Struthio camelus: one gene and its partners. The protein of the gene in region 3 purifies or fractionates together with the protein of the main gene of each other region. This does not show direct contact. Links are inferred from orthologs where the notes say so. Each region holds a gene or a part of one and is shown on either strand. Other genes may lie near its edges. The genes, in order: NCAPG2, HECTD1 and SMC2.

What was found.
Region 1: the proteins of SMC2 (region 3) and NCAPG2 purify together in Homo sapiens (affinity purification with western blotting; 4 studies listed by BioGRID and IntAct, with this or other methods). This does not show direct contact. The link is inferred for Struthio camelus from reciprocal best matches to the Homo sapiens genes SMC2 and NCAPG2.
Region 2: the proteins of SMC2 (region 3) and HECTD1 purify together in Homo sapiens (affinity purification with mass spectrometry; 3 studies listed by BioGRID, with this or other methods). This does not show direct contact. The link is inferred for Struthio camelus from reciprocal best matches to the Homo sapiens genes SMC2 and HECTD1.

Annotation. Positions count from the first base shown.
Region 1 is NC_090943.1:11,769,951-11,777,596, reverse strand, and holds the start of NCAPG2 (condensin-2 complex subunit G2), read left to right. Parts: upstream 1-4,547; 5' UTR 4,548-4,643; intron 4,644-4,904; 5' UTR 4,905-4,967; intron 4,968-5,628; exon of another isoform or gene 5,629-5,644; 5' UTR 5,645-5,674; coding exon 5,675-5,749; intron 5,750-7,646. UniProt on the Homo sapiens protein: Regulatory subunit of the condensin-2 complex, a complex which establishes mitotic chromosome architecture and is involved in physical rigidity of the chromatid axis.
Region 2 is NC_090946.1:53,376,754-53,384,359, forward strand, and holds the start of HECTD1 (E3 ubiquitin-protein ligase HECTD1), read right to left. Parts: upstream 3,080-7,606; 5' UTR 2,981-3,079; coding exon 2,841-2,980; intron 1-2,840. UniProt on the Homo sapiens protein: E3 ubiquitin-protein ligase which accepts ubiquitin from an E2 ubiquitin-conjugating enzyme in the form of a thioester and then directly transfers the ubiquitin to targeted substrates.
Region 3 is NC_090982.1:17,319,315-17,327,071, forward strand, and holds the start of SMC2 (structural maintenance of chromosomes protein 2), read right to left. Parts: upstream 3,079-7,757; 5' UTR 2,688-3,078; exon of another isoform or gene 2,628-2,687; intron 2,395-2,627; exon of another isoform or gene 2,343-2,394; intron 1,937-2,342; 5' UTR 1,857-1,936; coding exon 1,689-1,856; intron 792-1,688; coding exon 642-791; intron 1-641. UniProt on the Homo sapiens protein: Central component of the condensin complex, a complex required for conversion of interphase chromatin into mitotic-like condense chromosomes.

The DNA of each region.
Region 1 (7,646 bases), on a different chromosome or scaffold from region 3:
GGGGAAGGCCAGTCTCCCAGCCTTGACAAGATCTACATTAACATAAGGGAGAAATAAATGTTGGTGCCTTAACCAACCAATGTAAAATAGTTTTATAACTATATATACATGTATATACACACAGATGTATGCACACACATATATTCATATATATTTATATAAGAGAAACTATTTTCATATATATGTGTGTGTATTTATGTGTGTGTGTGCACGTGTAAATTTATATAGAGAGAAGCAAATCACATCCATTCTGACATTTGTACAATGTATTCATGTTTTATACTAGATAGATGGAACAGTGATCATCTCCTATTTGATGGATGTCTACCACAATGAAGCCTTTAAGAGTGCTTTTAAAATTAATAGCAGTATTTATATACTTTACAAATGATTCTTCTCTTTATCCATAAAGCCTAAAATAGAACAAGGGTTGAAAGGAGACAAAACGCTTCCATGAGCTGTTTATCTCTAATGATTCATACTGTTAAAATCAATAGGATTAAATTAATTTAGACAGAGCAGATGTGAATGTAGCCTTTTGAATGTGAAAAAATAGACAAACTAGTATTATAAATTAACTCAGTGATACATGATATTCTGAAAGATGCTCGTGATTTTATACTAGAAAATGTTCATTGTAGTTATAATGAAAAAAGTGATACTCCTTGTTTGAAATATTCAATTTTTTTTTTTTATACACAGGTTTGCCTGTATTATATTTACAGTAGAATGAATTTAGCCGTGAAAGTGTTATGTAAGGATAATTTATTTTTGTTGGCATTTTACAGCATTTCAGAAGTCTCCTTTTCATTTGCATGGCACTAATCGTTAGCAGAGTAAAATTACTGTGATTTGTAACACCACCTACAAGGAAAGAAGTGTAAAAGTAAGAGCATGAACAAAGTTGGACTGAAATTCAACCTGGCGGGAAAAGCCCGTAAGACACCCAGCAGTACCAGCTAATTCCCACAGGGTGGCAGTTCAGTACTTCAGCAGCATCTAGAGTTACTCAAGGGAGCAGCTAGTCAGAAAAGCTTTTGCATTGCCTGTGAGCGTTTTATTTCCTTATATTTTTGTCGGAGTTAACAAGGACTTTTTTTTTCCTTCTGTAGTAAATGTTTTTTTTTTTCCCCCCACTTAATCTCTTAAACTCTAAAATCGTTTCCTGTTAATATTAATAATTTAAAGGAAGTAAGCAGTTTCAAGGTCTAATCACGCCACCATCGAAAACTGTCAGTTGCCTTTGAATAAAGGATGGCATGATTGACAGTATTACCTTCAGGCAAGGGGAGATCTGGAGAAGTAGAATAGCGGCAAACTTCATCTCTCTCCCATGCTGTTCAGATTATTTATCAAAGTATATGAAGATGAAAAAAAATCAAGGGAAATGAATGCATGTAAATTATTAACAGCCTGCCTCAGAGGATGAGCAGATTTTGTGGCTACCGTATTAACTATAACAAATTATATTATATATTCAAAAGAAAGGAAATGGGAGTAGCAATTCTAAAAGGTTAGCATATAACACATACAATGATCTCCTCAGAAACTATTATCTAGAAAATAACACTGTAAATAGGAAATAAAAATAACATAAATGTCAAGAAAGCACCTTGACACTCAGGGAGTAACTTGTTTATTTTTACAAGGATTTATAATGTTGAATCATACAGGTTAAAATAGAATATTTGATATAGTCCGAACTACGAGATTCTTGTGAAATCCATTTGTAATTGAGATCTGTTATACAGGCCACTGACAAGAAAAAAGAGTAGTTTATGATGAAGCAGTAGTACAAAAGCAAATCTTTATTTGCTGTTGCTCAGCAACCACGTGCGGAGGGCCCATTTTTCATTTTCACTTTAACTTGACTTGACAGGAAAATCATAATAAATACGAGATTATTATCAAAGGATATAGATTATTTTGAACAGATGAACAGACATGTCAAAAAGAGGCATGTAATTTAGTAGCTCTTGAAAGGCAGAAGATTAGGGAAACTGAAAATAGGGTTGTAGCTTCATTACTGGCTTACGGTTCATACACAATTCTTCCAGCCCTCCTCCCCAACCCCGAAAGACCCTACCAAACTCTATTCTGCATCTCTGGTTTCTCTACATGGTTCTTTAAAATGAATCTTTCAGTGTTACTCAGCCTGCTGTTATTTGTGTCAACTTTTAGTTTCCATAACATGAAAGAATCATTCCGTGGTTGCTATGCAACACAAGTCATAAGCTAAAATATGTTTTAGTTTGTTTGCTAAATGGATGTGTGCCCGACTAAATAAACAGTAACCAGGTGACTAATGTAGCATCTAATTAAAGGACTAATCAAGGTATTAATGAAAAATTCAGTCCACACGAGATAAGATAATCAAATCCATCAGTTCAGTTCTAAAATGCCAAAGATTTGTAATATATGCAAAAAGGATAGACATTAGCACAACAAATGTCCGTTTTCATACTTTTTATTTACTTTTACTACCGTACAAGCATGATGATTGCTCCTACAATGCATTTCAAGCAAACTGTTTCATGGCCTTCTTGCCCTTAGCTGACTACATAACTTAAACAAAAAAAAAGCAGGTCCATCAGATCTGAAATAACCCTGATCCTTCTTCCTTCTTTCCGCTGGAGCAGCAAAAGGCTCCTTTTGTGGGGGTGGGGGGCTGCTTCTGGAAGGCGATGCCTGCTGGCTGTCTCTGCCTAGGGCTGTAGGACAGATCCTATTTCAGGTGATCGTCCCAGAATCTCTCTCCTGGGACCCTTCTCTGTGGTTGCCAGTAGGTAGATGCTGGCAGAGATGCTGGTAGATGCTGTGGAGAGAGATATGTTTATTTAGATGTGGGAGAAGAGAAGGGGTAGCACTGAATTGTCAGCATGGGGAAGAGACGTTATGATGCTCAAGAGTAGTCTCCTGGCTGCTAATTCCTTCTGCCATATTGTCCCTTCCTTGAGTAGATGACCAACTTAATTAAAAATTGCAAATAGTACAACCCATTCTCCAATTGATGCTTACAGTAATTTTTATCTGGCAAATAATTGCTTTATCTGGCAAAGAAGCTTTCTTCTAAAACCCAATGACTGCAGAAGTTTCACATACATTCTGCTAATGATTTAGGAATTTAAACAGCTTTTATCTTTGTTTTCAGTAACATTAGTCATCTGTTACAAACATTTTTGAAGCAATATAGAAGAGCATTAATTATACAGGATAAGCACCAAATAGATTTTATTTTTCATCTTGTAGTTTTGAAACTATGTAAAAAAAACAGTTAAAGAGCTTACTCAGAAAACGTCAAAAATTAAAACAGGAAGTCTTTCAGTCAAACATATATGGGAGAAAACGTTACTGTTGCAGTTTTGAGACATAGCAAGATTAAAGTGGATTGTACATAAAAAAGAAAAAACATTACCAAAAAACATAACTATTTCTTCAAAAAATAGTGATTTTGTACATATAATATTCTTAATTAAATGAAATCTGAATCTGATTTTGCTTTTTAAAATTACACTCTGGAAAAGTTCAGTCAGATGTGAGAACTCTTCTAGAAAGCGTTGATTCTATTTTTTGTTTGGAAAGCAAAGCAGCATATGCAGTACTACAGTCATACACTCAAAGTAAACAATTCCAGTCAAGCATCTAATTCTTCAGAACAGCTAAGAATGCTGGGAAATATTGAAAAATATAATGCTACTGGGAATGTAAAACTGAAAGATATAAATTAAGCCCTTAACGAGACAAAGTGACTATTTCCAGTTTGTAGAGGAGCTCCGACAGGACAGCGAACACAAGAGAATTGAAAGCTGTTCATGCTTAATTCAAGGAGCTGAGTCCAAACACTTCTGCCCACTGCAAAGTAAATTTGAAAAGAAACAAAAAGCACCTATTTCCAGATAGATTTTAAAAAGTAAAGCATTGTCAAACTGTTAATATCTTCCGGCCCGCATACTTCCCCATACCTTCTGCTGGGTAACCTGCTTAGCTTTTTGCTGCTTTGGATGACAAGTACATAAGGCCTGTAGTAGTGTTCACTGTGACCGAGATTGAAAGCGTAGCTGTCAACACTAGCCGTTAAGAACATTTTCTGAGAAAAAGCCAATGTAATCAACTGGATGCTGAGTGCTTTCTGAGTAAATAGCACATGTTTTGGTAAGAATACTGTGTCACTGCCACCCCAGATCCATGGAAGAAGGCATGCTGTTTCTTCAGCATATAAATGAATTTAATTAAACGTGTCTTATCCCATTTTGAAGGGGTTGTGAGTTATGAGATGGCTGCAGGAAGACAACCGTAGGCTCGTACGTAGATCTACACCTCGCCAGCTTCTTCGCAGTAACCGATCCGTCGCCTCTTCAGTGAAGGAGGGGGAGGGCAACTAACTAACGGCTGCGCCGGCGCGCGGAGAGGGGCGGGGCCGCAGCCACGCCCTTCCCGCCGCGGCGCCGGGGCCCCGCCCCGCCCCGCCCCGCCCACGGCCGGCGCGCGCCAGCGCCCCCGCCCGCTCGCAGTGGGGTTGCGAGGGAGGGGCGGTGGGTGAGCTCTCGCGAGACGGGAGCGGCGCGCGCCCGCCTGCGCCCAACGGTTGCCGCGGGAGAGTTCGAAACCGCCGGGAGAGCGCGCGGCGGCGGCGGCGTGTCTGTGTGAGTGCGAGCCCTGGGCGGGCGGGCGGGCAGGGCGCCGAGGCCGGGGCAGGAGGGCTGAGCGAGGTGCCATTCCGTCTCTGAGCACCCCCCGGGGCTGGTGCCTCGTCCGGCTCTGGGGAGAGGCGCGTTAGTGGCGCGGCGGTTGCACGGACACCATTTTCTTGGGCAGTGCTGCTGGGATACTCGGGCTTGCGCTCCTTTGCTTCACTGCATTTAAATAGTGAGGTCGCCTTTTTTGTTTTTCTCCTGTGTGAACAGCCAGAGGTTTTTGGAAGCTTTACCTATGGATCCATGAGGATTTTTTTTCTGTGATAGTGCCAGGTAAGCCGCCCTGGCAACTTGCCACTTACTTCCTCTCCTGTTCGGGGTCGTACAGCGGTCTGTGGGGCCATGCAGTGCGCCTGGCAAAACGTAAATTACTAGTTAATTTGGATCAGTTCCTCATCATCCAGATCATGGCTTCACAGACGGGCACGTTTGAGAGAAAGCAGCAGAGGCTGTGTAAGGTCGTCTTACAGCTGATAGGGGTAGGAAAAGCTTCTCAGGAATCACTTCGGATGGAAAGTTGCATGTGAGTTAAGCTCTTAGTGTTAACAAGTGATCTTGCCGGTTTCCCATGGCCTTTTCTTGACAAGGCAGAGAAGGAGGGAACCTTTCCAATAAGTAAATGCTGCTGCCTGGACTGATGGATAGCTAAATAGGGGATGTGTGCTAGAAAAGTTATTCTTGTTAAAAGTGAAAGCATCAGTTAAAAAATTTACTTTTAAGACTCTCCTATTTAATAAATAAAGGTATTAAAAACACTACTTACAAATACTAGGGTCTTGTGCAGTTATGAATCTAAACCCTATAAATCAGTTTAAGGGGAGGAAGAGTGTCTTATAATGACTTGGATGAAAAATGTGAGTTTTTAATACTTTTTAAATACATTTTCATTGGGTCCAAGAAAGATCTTATTGTGAGATGCAATACTCTTCTCTAGTGTTTTTTTCTTTTAGGTTTATAACGCAAGGAAAAGAAGGACCATAATGAAGCGTGAAGCATTTTTACAAGTTGTGTCTAAGGACTCAATTGAAGAATTCTTGCGTTTTACTCAGATTCCTGTAAGTAAACCACGATACACGTTCATGACTAAGTCTATTAAGAGTGCACAAACTTTTTGTTTCAGAGGGGCAACAAAATTTTTCTCCGATACTTTTGTATGTGCTAGAATAATGGCAGGTAGGCAGATATAGTATCACTGTTGCAAAAAATGGCACTTAATGGAGCATAGTTGAAAAAGTTGAGGAATTTGAAATTTTTCCTGTGTTGTAAAACAGCCTGTTTTTTAATACTTGGTTGTTGTATATAGCTTGCAGTTTTAAAATAATGATTACTGCAACAATAATACTAGAAAATATTCATCTGATACTGATAAAGTTTTTTTTTTTTAAATGTTGACCTGTAAAAGAGTAAATTTGTTGCTGTATAATCAATGCGAGCTAATATACAGGCATAGCAAAGGTATGTTTCATTAGCATTTGTTCATCGGTTTGATAGTTTAGGCTCTCTACTTCTTTTTTTGTTAATATACAATTGTATTTAATAGTTCTTTCTATCACTAAATGTTCTAGAGATGTGATAAAGAGTCATAGATTGCTGCCTCTAAATGTAGTATGGAGAGAAGTAGGGGGAGGAACAAAACGAATCCAGTGAAATCTACTAATTAAAAGTTCATTCTCCTTTTGTGCATGCAATATCAAAAATAACAATTTGCATTGTGGTATTTTCCACTAAGTTTTAATCTGGTATTAAGACATGCTAGTTCTCCTGAACATCTCTTGCTAACCTTAATAGATGATATTGTCATGTTTGTTTCTTAAGTTTTCTCTCTAGCAGCCTCTCTGTTCTATTATATAAAGTACAATATTGTGAAGAGAGGATCTTGAAGCTTTTTCTACTTTACTGTCTGTATATATTGAAAGCTAAAGATATACATGTTTATTTTTAAGACTTAGTTTTAATTCTACAACTTAAAAGGCTTTGTCAGATATCTCTGCTTTTTTACGCTAACTTTTTCTAATGCTGCTTCACTTCTCATTGTTTTGCCAACATCCCTATCTACCTACCTTTTATCATCCTCTTTTAGATACTAATAAAATAACACATAGATCTTTATTAATAAAGTCTTTTATTCAGTCTCAACTAGTATTTGTTTTTGTCTTTTCCTGATCTAACCAGTATTTTCCTTATGTTCCCTTTGTCGGGATAAAGTAAGTGGTACAGCTGTACTCTGTCCATCAGGCCACCAATTAATTTACTAATGTAGTATAGATATGAAACCTATCATGTTAATTTACTAATGTAGTATAGATATGAAACCTATCATGTCTAGAGAAGATATCATGCACCGCGTAATAAGCTTAGAATTGTTTGTCTCCTAAACCTCATTTAGAGTCTCTTTGTCTAAGTATTTTGTGAGCTTTTCAGTTGCGCTCCTGTGTGTAACTCTAGATGACAACTTTATTAGCAGATTGCCGTTGTTTGAAATCTCCTCCTTGCCATTATTTTCCCACTTCTCCCCAAATCACTTTGAAAATAAATTATCCTGTTTAGGATAACTTAGGATACTTCCTAAGCTTCCTTGCTGATGGTCATGTTGTTTCTGCCTTCTCCGTTCACTAACCTATCTTGACATACCTCTTGGTCTGTTCAGATTAAAAATTGCTTTTCCATCCCTATACCTTGAAGAACAATATGGTGTGTGTATCACTATTTTTCATCGCCAGTTCACAAGAGTTGTCTTGCAACTGTATACAGCTATCTTTATTGCTTGTGAAACTGAATCACTGCCAAAAGAGAGCCCTTTAGTGTTTTTAGAAATAAAATGATTGATTTGTCTATTTTGCCACAGATTATTAGCCTGTATCCTTTTTGTTTCTAGGTTACCCCTTGCCAGTATTTCTGGAAACTGATTATCACCAACTGTAAAGAATGTACTGATTAAAACTGCCTTCACTC
Region 2 (7,606 bases), on a different chromosome or scaffold from region 3:
GTTCTCTGAAAAATTGTCATGCCTCATTCTCTAAGAAAGTGAAAGTGACTTTTTAAAATTATTACATTTCCCAGTTGTTTAATTCAACAGATTAAAGTCTTCCTAGTTGTCTTAACCACCATCTTTAATAGCAAAGAACAAATCAAAGATCTTGAAATAACATCTGCCTAGCATACAAAAATTTGGGAATGCTCTTTTCGCTGAACAGAACAAATTATGTTTTAAAGTTTGCAATTGGTTTCTTACCACCAGAAAAATGTCTACATTATAAATTAGGCATACACCAAAGCCATTTCCAAGATCAGTTTTTGAAAAGAGCATTTGGCAACACTTCAGTCAGAGTCACTTCAGAGTAAATATCCTATTTAGGCAAGCAATTTCAAAACACTGCCAAAAAGCAACTTTAGTATACTATCAAGGATTATTTTAGTTACACTCTCTCAGCACGTACCTGTGTTGGCTACTTGGACTATCGCTTGGAAAAGATTTTTAAAATATTTTTCAAGACAGTCTATTTCTTACAGAGGGCTTCAAATAGAGTCCCTTTGAAATGCAGGTTGTGATACCATAGACAGCTGAAACAACCTAAAAGTTCTCCACTGGAAAGCGTACCTTTCTCTGCCTCTCCATGTTGCCAGTTATGCAGCTCCACCTCCCGTGCTTATTAGATGCCTGTGCATAATCTGCTTTACTTCACTGTAACAGCACAAAACTGTCCAGCTTCTTTTGTGGGTTTAGAGAGTAATTCGCTGTTTTAGTGAGTTAAAGGAGTCCAGTAAGCACTAATGCCAGCATGAAGCAAGCACACGGTTGCGAGAAATGAAAAAAGGAGAGTGATGGGAAGAGGGAAGAAGGAGCTCTCCCTTTTTAGGGCAATAAGTTATTATGTCAGCTCACCACATACAGTGGAACCATACCTTCACTGTATTCAAAGTGCCAATTAAAAGTAGCATTTTCTAACCTGATTGTAAAAATCACACACATAAGCCAGGGAAACATAACAACATTTTCCCTATCTACATTTTATTCTCTCTTTCTTTGAGGGATGCTTCCAACAATAAAAAAGATCAGCATCCTAGGAACACCAGTAAAATTAAATACCTAACAAGGCTCACAACAAAAATTAAAATGCCAAATGGTATTTTAAGTGCTTCTCCTCTCAAACATCAAAATTAATTTTAAAACCACAACCTTGTAATAATAGACCCTTCATTATATGTAGTTTTACAAAAAAGCATTTGAACTATTTAATTTATTTTATGATGAAAGTCTGTTCTAAATCAAATGCATAAAAACTACAACTGCTTTATATTAAGAAGCTAACATTTCATTCCTGATTTTCATATACAAAAAGATATCCTCGCAAATGCTTATGACCAAACCTCTACTTTTGTTCAATATGGCACAGACTGAAGAAGGTCCACTTAGATATAACATTAAAAAGTTATTCTTAAACAACTGTCAAATTATTTTCTATAGAGGCAAATTAAGAAGTCAGTAAATTAGTTTTTCCTAGCCTGAATATAGCAATGCATCAGTGTCAGTACTACAAGCGACAGATAGGCAAGTCAAACGCATCTCCCTATTGCAAACCTCTTTCAATCCACAATTTTACCTGTACACTCTTCAGGCCAATGCCAGCCAATTTCAAACTTTAAAGCACTGTACAAAACTGTGGTCACTGTTACGTAACTACTACAACTTCTAATTTTAAAGATGCATGAATTTTAGAGCTCTTGTGCTAATAGCAATCATGAACGGCTTTTAAGAGGTGAACCTTGGAAGCTGTTCTCTTTTTCAGGGCTATGGAAATAAACACTGTAACAACCAGTTACATTCTTAAATGATCTTCAACCCACACCGCTAAGAAACAGGGCCTATCACAAAGACTCTAGCCACACCGTGAGATGCAAAAGAAAAGTCAGAATAACAAAGAAAAGATGGAAAAGTGGAGAGACGCAGAAGAGAATCAAAACATGATCTGGGAAAAAGACATAAAAGAGATACTAGATTAGGGAGTAGATATGGGAAGAGGAGTAGATATGGAAAGAGATTAAAAAAAGAACTAAGGAAGAACATAAACCACTGTATTCACTGCTACTTAAGTTTTAAAAGCTCTGTTTACACTTCTGCACTACTCCTTTCTCTCTTTTCTACACTAATCACCCCTACAAAGATTAGTGTAACAAATGCACATTAATACAGAGCAATAATATTAAGTAACAGAAGTTGTAACATCAGCATTTTGTATAGTGAGATATATAAAAAGGAGTGAGAACACAGGCTGTGCTGTATAACGTGTACAAATGTTAATTACAGCTGGGCAGGAGGGCGGCATGAACAGCAACATTCTTCTAGGAAGGGGCAAAATATTTGTGTGAACACTGGCTAACGGTTGTAGGGTTTTTTGATTTGCAGCTATCAGAAAAAGCAACTATATCTGATGAGAGCAACATTCTGTAAGAGTATGGATACTTAAGTATATGCGATCATTATAATTTTAAAGTTATAAAAAGTTCTTCCGTACCATTAAAAAATAATTTCCACACTGCAAAAGGAATATGGCTGTAGACTCTGAATATAATTCTTTAAATTAAACAATCACACAGGCAATGCCCATTCTGGGACGTGATCATCCACATGAGACAATGTTTTTAATCGGAAAAGATTACTTTAAACAACACTAACAGGAACTCATATCTCATTTCTGTGATATGTACTTAAGTTTGGTCTGTAAGAACATTTTCAAGACTGTGAAAGCTTCTAGGAATGTTAAATTTCATACACAACTGCTGAGAAACAAAAACAACATTCCATAAATGAATGGCAAAATTACTTACGTTTCAAAACAACGATCCACGTTGTCCGACATCAGAAGTAGCATGCATAGCTGTTCCAGTGCTATTAGCTGCATATCCCTTTCATCTCCCTGCCCCATCTGCAGCCATTCAAGCAACGTGTCTGGGTCCACATCTGCCATGGTTTTAAAAAAAAAAAAAAAAAAAAAAAAAAAAAGCCGCCTCTGCTTAAATTAAAAGTACCAAAAATATCCTTCAATTGTTCAAGCCAGACTAACTTGAGTACAATCAACGTCTCTCTTCAGCCAGCCTCAGGCTTTTGCAGTTTTTACCTGGAAAGAAAGAAGAAAAAAAAAATACACGTTATCAAAATTTAGCCTAAACTTTTCAGATTTGTTCCTTTCTGAAATTTATCACATATCTTCAGGCCAAAATTAAGGAAATTTCCATGTGTTCTAGATTAAAAAAAAGGATCCTCCCCCTCCCCTTTTTTGCTTATTTTTTGCTTGTTTTTTTAAACTTTACACATGAGTAAACAGTAATTATTGTTTCCAATGAAATAGAAAAAAGGTCTCTAGTTCCAGCTGACAATCAACCAAGTCTTAAAGTCCACTATGATACAGAGGATAACTCGAAATTAAAATTTTTAGTAGAAAAACTATGCTTAAGTCATTTTCATACTCTCAGAGCTAATACAAAGACAAATAGTGTTATGTCTTGCCTCCTCCTCCTCTCCCTTTTTTTTTTTTTAAAGTATCATCTTATGATAAAGTGTCTCACTTTCCTAAAGATTATGTCATCACTCAAGTATTCAAATATAAAACATCAGGCTTTTTTTAAATAAAAATCCACAAAACAAAAACAATATAAATTGAGAGTTTATAATTTGAGATTCAGAGAATTTTTGCAGGATTTTTATGATTTCTTCACCTTTTCAAATAACATGTAACAAGAATAAGCCTTTTAAGGCAAAGGAGAAAAAAGCTAATTTAAGAAATACTTCAAATTTTTACTGTTTTTTTAAACATATCTAATTGACAGCCTTTAAGAAATACAGTGAATAATTCACATAATTCATGCACATATAAGGAAAATAACATTATTTGTTGGCCCAATGCCATAGCTGTACATGCAAGCTGAAGACCAAAAAAGTCCCTTTAAAACGTTAGGAGATATTTTTGACCTATGTGCTTATTTGTTACTTTGTATTTTACTAACACACAGTCAAATTCACCTCTGGTGCCAAAGAATGGAACAACTACAATTATTAATTTCATATAAAAACTAAAAAAAAAAGGGGGGCTACTAATCAACCTCTCCAAATTAAACATAAAAGAAAAAACTGAATGTATACGACTTATAAAAAAAAATTAGTTTATCAAATTTGAAGGTGAATATGAAAATGCTGGAAAGTGTCCTCACAAAATGGGGGGGGGGGGGGGGGGGCGGGCAGGGAAGGGGAAGCTTGATCTGGACAAAGTCTGCCTGCATGTTTACTTGCTGCTAACGAGTTAATAGTTAAAAAATAACTTCATCAAGGGCACAAAGGAATTTACAAAAGGGAATCACAAGTCTGTATTATGTGGAGAGATACACATTGATTCAGCAATACGAAAGCTTTGTCACCCAAAGACATGACAAAAAGTATGTCAAATGTGATTTTATTTTTCATTTTATCATTGAGGGCGATAAGAACATTACAGCTCACCCAATTATTGCTTGCCCCATATATGTGTTTTACTATTGCTGCAGCATCTCTAAACTGCAAATTCTAAAAGGAATTAAAATATTATTAAGTTCGTTTTTATGCTTCAAACAACGCTTATGATCCTCTCCGCTGTTTAGAGACTACATTTTGTTCTGAGCCTAGAGAAAACTGATGCCATCCAGTACAACTAGGTTCGTACTGCAGGTGTAGTACATGTTTTTAAAGCAAAAAAATAATGATCGCCAACTGGCGCTGGGGGAGGGGGAAGCACGGGGAGGGGGAGCGAAGGAGGGGTGAAGGCCACAGAGGCAAGGAAACTAAGAGAGCCGGGGGAAGCCGGATAAGTTCAATACAGGCAGCTGCTGTTCCTTCGCCCTAGACGGGCTCTAACCAGCCCGAAACGAGCAACCGAAGAGAAAACAGAGCAGGGCAAGCGACGGGGGCTCCCCGGAGACGCGGGCCAGAAACGGGGCCAGGCCGCCGCTCAACTAGGCTCCCACCGCCCCGCGGCCTCTCGGGCCTACAGCGCGCACCAGCCCCAGGCCGCGCGCGGGGATTTTCGGGGCCGCCCAGCCGCGGGGGGAAGCGCAGCCCCCGCGCCGCCGCGGCCCGAGGGGCTGCGCGCCAGCGCTGCCCCCGCCTTCAGCCCGCCGAAGAAAGCCGCCCCGGGCCCCGCCGCCGCCACCGCGCGGGCCGCCCCGCCGGCCCGCTTCGCCGGGGCCTGGCGGCACCGGCCCGCCAGGCCGGGCAGCGCCGCTCGAGTTGCCGGCGAGCCGCAGGCCTCGCAGGGTGACCCGGCCTGGCGGCGCAGGAAAGGCGCCGCCGCTCCGTAGCGAGCGCAAGAGGCCGCCGCCGCCTCCTCCGCCTCCTCCTCCCCGCCGCTCACCTCGGCCTCGCGCAGCCTCCTCGCCGGAGCCGACCCCTCCTCAGTGCCGCGGGGAGACGGCGGGAGAGGCGCGGCGGCGGCAGCCCGAACCCGGGAGCAGGCGGCCGCGAGCGGCGTCCATGGCGCTCCGCCCGCCACGGGGTTGGCGGGAGGAGGGGAACCAGCCGCCGCCGCCGCCGCCTCGGGGCGGAGCTGGCGCCCGCCCGCCGGCCGCCGCCGCCGCCGCTGGGGGCGCTGCGGGAGCGGGGCCGCGGCCCGGCCCGGCCCGGCGCCCCCCGCCCGCGCACGCTCCCGGCCTGCCGCCCGCCTCCCCTCTCCCGTGACGGTGGGCTCGGCCTTCCGCCCCTCTTCGCGGCGCCTCGCTGCCCCCGGGCCCGGGGCGCCGCGGGGGCTCCCTCAGCCCGGCCCGGCCCGGCCCCGAGCTGCCCGGGCAGTTTTCTGGGGTTAAAGAGCTTTTCACGCCCTGGCGTTTTTTGGCTAAGTCCCTCGATACAGCACTCTGTTTTACATAGTGCTCTTTCTGTGACAGTATCGAAGTACTCTTACACGGCTTGTAAAAGTGCGGTTATAAAAGTACTGTGCAGCTAGGCTTGTCCTTTCCGGGCCCCTTTAATCCACACCCAGCACCTCCTCTATTAAAAACGGCAGTGACGAGTGGTTTTAAACACAGCGCTCGTGCTCTTCCAGGGTGGAAGCTGTAAATTGCCATTATCTGGTAGGGACTTTGAGCTATCGCAACCGCATTATTCAGTCTATGGCAGGTTTTGCAGCGGAGCATCACCCCCTGCAACACATGCTGCCAAAACCTGCACTGCTATTCTGCGTACGCCCCAGAGTTAAAGGAGGCAAACTGCTACGCATTTACTATGACGAACCCAAGACAGGGGAAGACCTTCAAAACAGTTTTCTCTGTAGAATCACATGCCTTTTTTAAAGGACTGTAGTTACATAAAGCCTATTAATATAAGTACAGTAAATAAGATTATTGTACATTTGAATGTCACTCCTGCACACATCATAGACATCTCTTGTAATTAGGAAACAAACGACACAGTGAACAAAAAGGCAATAGCAGTCATGCTCGGGTAAGACTTAAAAAATGCAGAAATCTTTATGGTTTGGTGTTGTAATAGTACCTTTAGAAAGCTTTAACTTTATTGAATCGTTTCTCTGAATCCAAAAACAATAGCTGGCTTCTCTGGTTCTGGTTTCTAAGGCGGCTTAGACTTTGTGTCTTATTGTATTATGTCTCTCTTAATGGCTGCTTGTTCCAATCCTGACGAGACTTATATGTGTATCCTTTATGTATGCATGTTTGTCCTTCTGAGGTCGACAGGACTTCTTATATGCTTAAAGTTAAGGACGTGAGGCATTAGGAAAACTGAGACTGCAGTCTTTAAATTTAGAAGCTTGATCTTCTTTCACTTTCACTGGTACAGAAGAAGCAGAAAAATTAGGCCAAACTTGTGAGAGCTGCATGCGCTAAGTGACCTTACTCCTGTCTCATAATCCTAGAATGGTTTCCTATGCCTTTTATGGTGAAGAAGGGTTTCAATTAAAGCAACATGTTACGAATTTCTCCTGAAGCCCAAAACAAATAATAATTTTCAATTGCAAACAGTGAACACTTATAGTGAAGTATAACTTATAGTGAAGCATAAATACTTCCATGTCCTCCTCCATTAATTACCCAATGTGAAATATCCTGTAATATCTTTTATATTAAAGGAGGTGTATCAAGAAATTTTTTACTGCCTTAGTCATGAGCCTGAACTGCGTTCTTTGTGATACGTTTGCAGTACTTAAGAATTCATCTGTTTGTGATCCGTGTTCCTGATTATGAGATTCCTTCTCCCGAAACTGAATCTGAGGAAAGGAATAACATGCTAACTATATAATTTCTGCTGTACAGATTATATATATACTTCTTATTTACAACATATATCTTCATAGTCTGATTGACACTTACTTCACGTGCTGAACGGACATGCAGTTTATTTTCAGCAGTTGTCAGAGAGTATTCCCTTGAAATGTATAACGGGAAGTGACATGCCCAAGTTACTGTTTCAAACTCTCCCTGCATACAGCACCGGAATAGACTTCACCGATATACCTCACCTTCAAAACTTGACTGTTCTCTAATGTTTAATATGAGGAAAAATAGCTTTCAAATAAGACTACAGTTAGCTGATTATTAAATAAGAATTGCCTCAG
Region 3 (7,757 bases):
GAGAAAAGGGAAGAAATAAGAAATCTAAAAACGGCTTGATATTATGACAACATAAGCTGCAATGAATTACAAGAACCAAAACCTGAGCAAATCCTAGCTATGTGTATACATATACACAAGCATACCGCACAGAAGAGACTAGATCCTGCTAGTGTGAAAAGGTGTTTAAAATACCTTACGTAAAAGTGAGAGAGTCATCAAGGCTAATATTTTTACTCTTAATTGAAAAAAAAATTTCCAGATTTCACAAGGTGTCGCAGCCTTTTACCTGGGTGATGTTTTCATCAGAAAAATAAAGGTTTCTATGATCTTAGAAAACAAATTTAACTTTGATGAAAGCAGAAGAGAAAAAAAACACAGAAGAGAAAATTATAACTTGCTTCAGGAACTTTATTCCATTATTATGTTTCTATGTAAGTAGAAAAAAATTATTAACGCATTTAAAAATTGGAATTACTAAGGCAATTAATATTATCTACTACACTGGATCTACTTTGATACTTTCTGTTACTAACTTCATTGCAGAAGCACTGCTTTAACTGCAAAAACTCAGGGGCTTGAAAAAATTAACTTTTTCTTGAAAGTCACTCTGTTGAGAACATCAGAAGTGTATACAGGTTTCTGAACAAATACAGACTCACCTGCCTAGTGACAATAATCTCATCGTTAGCTTCAAATCCCAATGGACTTTGTTTCTTGTCAGAATTATCAAAGGTGATAGAAACGGTTGCTTTAGTAATTCCAGCTTGCCCATTTTTATAAACTAGGTCCTGCAAGTTGGCAGCTCGCACCTAAACACATGAAACAGATCTATGCATTTTTTTTTTTTTAAATAAAAATCGTTATACAGCTTCAGTGTGTACAGTACTAGTGGTGTAGGTTCTGGAGAAACGAATGAAAAACGTTGGAATTGTAATGTTGAAGATTCAGTTAATGGGGAGATTGAGATGTGGGAGTTGCAAGACGTTAGTACTGTAAAACCACAGGCGTGTGCCAGTCTAGTTTTAGTCAGCTAGCTATTTGTTTCTGCATGAGACTCCTAATAAAAACCTGAATGTCTATAAAAAAATTCATATGTCTAGTTAGTCACCAGTATCTTTACTTAAAGAACATTTATTATTCACTATACAGTTCACGGGGAAGTCAAACAGAAAACTTTCCTTGCAGTTCTCCTAGAATTCCGGGGGGGGGGGGAACCACCTGAAAACAGTGGTTCAAATTTACCTCACAATACAGCCTTATATAGAGAGTAAAGCAGATATATCAGCTTTTAAATAGCAGATAGTCCAAGAAAATCTCATTTTTATTTTTTTCTGATGAACTAGTGGTCAAATTTTAAGACCTGCTTGAGAAGTATGAATGTTTATTCCAAATAAACAAGCTTAGGCCTTTAGCTATTAAAGAAATCCAGCTTTAAGCTGCTTCCTTTTAACTGGGTATTTTTATTCTAAAGTTCCAAGTTGCATACTTTATGCTGTTGTATTATATTGACAAAATTGTAGTTTAAACTTAATGCAAGAGTGAGAAATAATGATAAAATTCAGCTTTGTGTCCTGAAAAATCGGAATAAATAAAATCATTTTTTGGACAGAAGTACCACATTAGGTCCTCCAATAGAGATTAATCAAGAAAATAATAAGAATAAAGTCACTGGCAGAAGAAAGATCAACCCACCCCCACCTCTTTACCTGAGATAGGTTGGCGATGCCCAACAGGAAACAGATAGAGTCCAAGATGTTGGACTTGCCACTGCCATTCAGCCCAGTAATGGCATTGAATAATGGATCAAAACTGTTGATTTCTGTCCTCTGAGCATAGGACTTAAATCCTTCAATGATAATTGATTTGATGTGCATGTCTCTATGTCCCTAGAGAACAAGGCCAAGTGTTCCTCCAAGGGGTATGAAGAAAGATTTCTGAACTATAATCCTGTGTACTACAAAATAAGGAAAAGAAGAAAATAAATCATGCTACATTCCTGAAAAAAAAAAAAACTAAATTTCTAATACTAAATGAGCAATGAGTATGCCTGGAAATGACATGCAATTTTATGCCCTTTAAGTACCTTTTTTTTTTTTTTTTTGGCTGTGAAAGGTGGACCTCCGATTCAGGATGCATCCCAACAATAAACTGTACTTTAAAGGGCCTAAGCAACATGATTCTATTCAGTTTGCATCATGATATTTGTATGAAGGCCGTGGCATAAGAGTTTTCTCGCAAAGTTGGAGGTTATTTCATCAGCCAAAGAGAAGGGGGAGGCTGGAAGCTTTCAGAAGGCAATAAAAAGACAGCACCCCTTTTAAAAGGGGCAGCGCCGAGGGGGCAGCCCGCGGAGCTCTTACCAGCGCCCAGCTCCACCGCTGCCCCGCCGCCCTCCGCACCTCGCCTGGAGAACTGAAACCCAGGAATAAGTAGATAAAAATCACGAGGACCTCAGAGACGAGACTGCCTCATCTCTGAAGCGCCGCGAAGACAGCCCCCGCCCGCCCGCCCCGGCCGGACACGCAGCGGTGCCTGCTCCCATCTCGCCCGCGGCGCCGGGGCTCCCCACAGCCCCGCCGGGGCGGCTGCCGAGCGGGTCCTCGCTGGCGGCTCCAACGGCCAGGGGAAACGGGTGCCCGGCGCACCTGCCGCGGGGAGGTGGGGGAAAGCAGCCCCACCGCTGGCCCCAGCCTCTCGTGGCTCACCGTCCGCAGCGCTCCCAACGGCCCGCAGCGCTCCCAACGGCCCGCAGCGCTTGAATTTTGGCGCCGAGAGGATGGGCCCGTTCGCGGCTGCCCTGCGCATTGCCTGTCTCAAAGTCGCCCTGCTCCTCCAGCCTCCCCCTCCAGAGGGTAAAGCGGAAAGACTAGGTCCCGTCCTTGCCGAAAAGAAGGAAGGAGCACTCCAGAGACGAGGGTCTCGGCGTCGGGGGGGATAGCGTACACCTTCAGGTCAGAACAGGCAATCGCGACGGGCGGGCGGGCGCGCTCCGGGTAAAGCCCGCTCCGGGCGCGGGCGCGGGCGCGGGCGCAGGCGCGAGACGGGGTCCTCGCGGGGCGGGGCGGGGCCGGCGGCCGTTACGTACCTGAGGCGGGCGGCGGCGGCGGCGGCGGGGGTGCGGCCTCCGCCTCCGCCTCGGCCTCCGCCTCCGCCTCGGCCTCCGCCTCTGGCCGTTGCAGGGGCGGGGTTGGTCTCGTCTCGACTCGTTTAGTCTGCTGACTAGGGAGTCGAGACAAACCTATTTGTTCAAAGGTCTTTGTTTGGGGATATTTAGGTATGTTTTTTTTCCCCTTCCCTTCACCCCCGCTAAATTTTCCTATTTGGCTTTGAGAAGGAATGTCTATGCAGGCAGGGTAGGCCAGCAGCTTTTGTGGCGTGATCCTAGCTCTGGTGGCACAAATAGTAATACTGACCCCTGAAAAACGTGCCACGGTGCGCATAGACTGATACCTGCATAAGCAGTAGCTACTATGCGGACTTTAAAAGGAAAAATAGAGGTGTTGTTAGAATGTTCTTCTTCCTCACAACAAGGAGATTTTGAGACTTCAGGTAGGTTCCCAAGTGAAATGGACACAACAATTAGCATAACGTGAGGAGACGGTGAGTTGGGGAATTAATTTCAAAAAGCTATTCCCACTTCAGGTAGAATTTGACAAGAACGTGGAGGGCTCGTAGTTGGCTTACCAGCAGCTGTGAAAAAGCAAAACCAAGCAAATGCTCTTATGTTAAAGTTGAATATATGTTTCTGATACTTAAATCTTCAGAATTACAACGTAGGGTTTTTTGTGTAAGTAAAGGAAGCTATCAGTAGCAAATATTTACAATACAGGGCTAATGCAGGAGCAGTTAGTTGTGGAGCCTGAATAACTGCAAAACTGTTAAAATGAAGAAAATTCAGTTCTGTTCCTCTAAAAAAAAGGAAAATGTCTGTTTAACTCATTTGTTGCAATTTGCAGAGAGGGTGTTTGCATTTAAGAAAGAAGCCTACTCAAAACAAATTTCAAAATGGTTCATTTTAGGAACAGTAGCTCTTAAAATTGCAATACAGTTACATTGATCAAAACAGATACTTAGACCAACTAAATGCATTTACCTTTCCTGAGATGGCGGTAGTTAGGCCGAATGCTTAGATAGGTTATTTTGCAGAGGATGTTCCGTATTGTACTGTCAGCTGGGCTTTAGTGTTACCACTGAGATCCAGGGAGCTGTTGTGATGATTGCACTAAATTGTCTAATCTATAGTCAGAGGTTATGTTTTAATCAATGGAAATAATGCAGGCTACAGGTGTACATTACAGGGAAATATTTTTTTCTTTGTATACTCACTCCACTTCTGGAATTATTTCTGATGCAGCTTGGTTATTGCATATTGTGTAAGGCGTAATTGTGACAGCATTGATTCTGATAGTACTGTAACTAGGAGGCACTTAAGGATGTCCTAACAGCTTCTTATTTGCTAACATCTGGACATCATATTGAAAAAAATATTTTAAAGTATGGGGAAAAATCAAAATGGGACTCTGTAATTTTGCAGTCATCATTAAAAGCCACTTCTATTTGGTGATCTGAAAGTTAGTCATACTCAAGGCAAAAGTTGCCAGTTTACAGTCTGCAGGAAACGTGCTTGCACTGTTGTGATGCCTGAGGCCTGACTAGTTACTGTGGGAAGTAGGTCCTTGGGCTAGCCTGCAGGTGGTACCTGGTTGTGCTTCAAAAGACAGAAATGATTGCTGAGTGATGGCTATCTCCAGGGTTGGTTGAGGAGCCAGTGCTGCAGTGGTTCTGTCTACTGTTTTGTCCTACCAGCCTAGCTATAGCCTGAAATAAGCAAACGGAAATAAAGAAGTGTCATTTCTGAAATGAGAGACTTTTCTCTGTAAAGATAACCAGTATTTATGTTATGTATGGGCGGGGAAAGTTCACCCGTTATCAAGTGGCTATGTGCTAGCTTTATGGCCTATTAGTCTCTAAAAGCTGGATACTGTATTTTAGAGTAAAGGTAAAATGCACTATTTTAATAATAGTGTTGAATTTTAAGAAGAAAACCATACTGTTGCTATTTAACACTTGTACCTAACAAACTTGAATATAGCATGTGCATTGAGGAAGGAAAAGTTATCATTTGCTTATCTAGGAGACTTTTTAGTTTTTGTCGTAACACTATAAAGCAGATTATGCCAAATCTATAACATCATTTTTAACTCTGAAGTCACAACTGATATTCCACAAAGGTAAAAACTTCATTAATCTTACAATGGGGGAGTGCAAACGGGAACAAAGGTCAAACGCCAGACCAAACATTAAGCAGGAAATTTAGAAACTGTGGCCTTCCTGTCAGATAACTGCAACTAAAGGTTATGCCTAATCTAAGCAAGCTGAATGCTCATTAGATGTTTTTTTCCCCTCCGTGGTGGTATGGCAGTGAGATGGCAATACTGTTAATTCTGAAGACAAGTTAACATTACTTTTTGTGTTCCTTTAAAGACAGAAACCATTTCTACCACTACTAGTATGTTGATGCAATTTCTCTGGTGTAGTACTGATGCTTTTGAGTGGAGAAAATTAGTTCCAGTGCAAATGATGGGTTTCAGCAATCTAATAGGTCTAACTGAGTGAAAAAATCTACTCTACATATATATGTGATTAAGACATGCTTTTAGATACCAACTTGGCAAGGTGTATGAGCGGGAGTTTCATGATGCAAAAGGGTGGGGAAATATCGGATGGCGCTGTGTCTAGTAAATGAGCATAAAAATCTGAGTGAGATCTTAGAGAAATGAAAAGTGATAATCATGTACTAAATCTCTAAGTAAATTAAATTTAACTCATTCTTTCATAAATTTCACTCACACTTTTATACCCACATACTCAAAAGCAGCAAGTTGTGTATGCCCAAGTGGGAAAGCAATCTGGAAGCCAAAGATAGCTGCAGAGCAGGCAAAGGCAGCATCCTTGGCAACAGTGCACAGTTCCACATTTTAAGGTTGCATTGCTCATATTGTTTGTGAAGGTAGAGTTTCACGAGTACCAGTGAATTCCTTGCTGTTCCTACATCAATAAACTACCTTCATCATTGCTTGATTTCAGCTACATGAACCAAGCTGGTTTTCTGTGGGCTGTTGGTTGCTCTGGCATTTCATTAGTGGACACAGCAGGAAGGCTGGCTTTCTGAAACAGTCGTGTGGGCTTCCACTTCCTTTCTGCTCTTCCCTCCCTCCACCCCCTGCCCCGAAGCCTTGAAAGGAAAAGGAGAAGATGCATCAGGTGGCTTCTCCTGAAGGTGGCCTGGTTTTCCCGCTGGCTCAGCTGACTGTCTTTTAGTTGTGGTTGAGGCGGTGGTCTCTGTGTTTTGAAGGGAGTGCCTTGTCTTCCGACATCTTTGCCTTTCCTTCCTTTTTGCTACTCTTCCCAGTAGTCATCTGCTCAGATTCTGTGAATTGTCAGAGTAGCAAGAAGGCAGTAGTTCCTACCTGTTTGGATTTGGCCTCTGCTGTTTTCACTTGGCAACTGGGTAGCTACAAGCCCTGGGAAATGCCTGGAAACGTAATGTAGTGGGGTGGAGGAAGGTTGTGCGACTTTGGGTATTTGGCCGGAGGCTCTGCTTGGGGTGTTCCCTTGATGACACTGCATGGGATTTTCTTTCAATGGAAATTGGCGCTGTAAGCTTCAGGGCTGAAAGAGAGAGAGAGAGCTTAGGTGAGCCAGAGGTTTGTAGTCTGTCAGCATGGCGAGAGAGCTGCTGAGCACACGTAGATATGGAGGAGTGACTGCTTCTGCCTTTTGCTTTGTTTCTTCATAGATGGTTGAGGGTGGAGGAGGGCAGGAGGAAGGAAAGATTCCTTGGGAGACAGTGTGGAGAAGTTGGTGGCAATTAGAGTTGGTCCTTCCATGCTGTATTTCTGGTCTCGGGAGAGGAAGAGGTAGGCACCTCCATGCAGCAACCAAACTCATGCCAAGGGAAGTCAGAAATGACCAGCTGACCTTTGGCCAAACTTTCCAAGTTGGAGAGGAGGACAGTGGAACTATGGCCATTACTATAGCAGTGGAACTATAGCATTACTAGCTGCTGTTCTCGTGACCTCTCGTTTTGGATTTGACCTGTGTTCCTCCCCTGCTTGCAAGATTTACAGGAAGGGATGGGGTGAGTTGCTGTCTTCCCTTGGGCTCTCCCCATAGATACTCTGTGGTGTTCAGGCCTGCCCATGTGTCACCCACGTGGAAAGGAACCACAGCACTTCCAACTCTTCTCAGCTTGCCTTCCTCCTCCACCATGGTAGGCCAAGCTCCAGTGTCTAGCAGTCTGGCCTAAGTGAAGATGGAGAGTTGGGGGCACGAAGACAGTGGTTACAGCATATACTTTGCATCACCAAGGAGCACTTGGAAGTGCAGCCAGGGCTTTCCCTCACCCGTTGACTTGCTTCCTGGAATACATTATCCTGACTTAGCAAGACTGGACTAGGCCATGGCCAGGAGAGGATTAAGCAGGTGCCCCCACACTGTCCCTGTGGGGATTGTGAGGAGGCATGGTGAGGTGAATGCTGAGTGAGCACTAGGACTGAGCATCCCCACTGAGCTGGGAGTGACTTGAAAATGTGATAATCTGTTACTCTGATAGTCATTCACACTAGGTGCCCTGAACAGTTTTAGGCGTAATTTCTCTGAACCTGAACAGGCAAAGGTTAAGAGTGTTGAATTGTTGCAGAGGAAGGGTTAGCTCTGTGGTTACATCAAGAGTTTCATTCATCAGAGAAACACAACCTTCTAAGTCAGTGGGT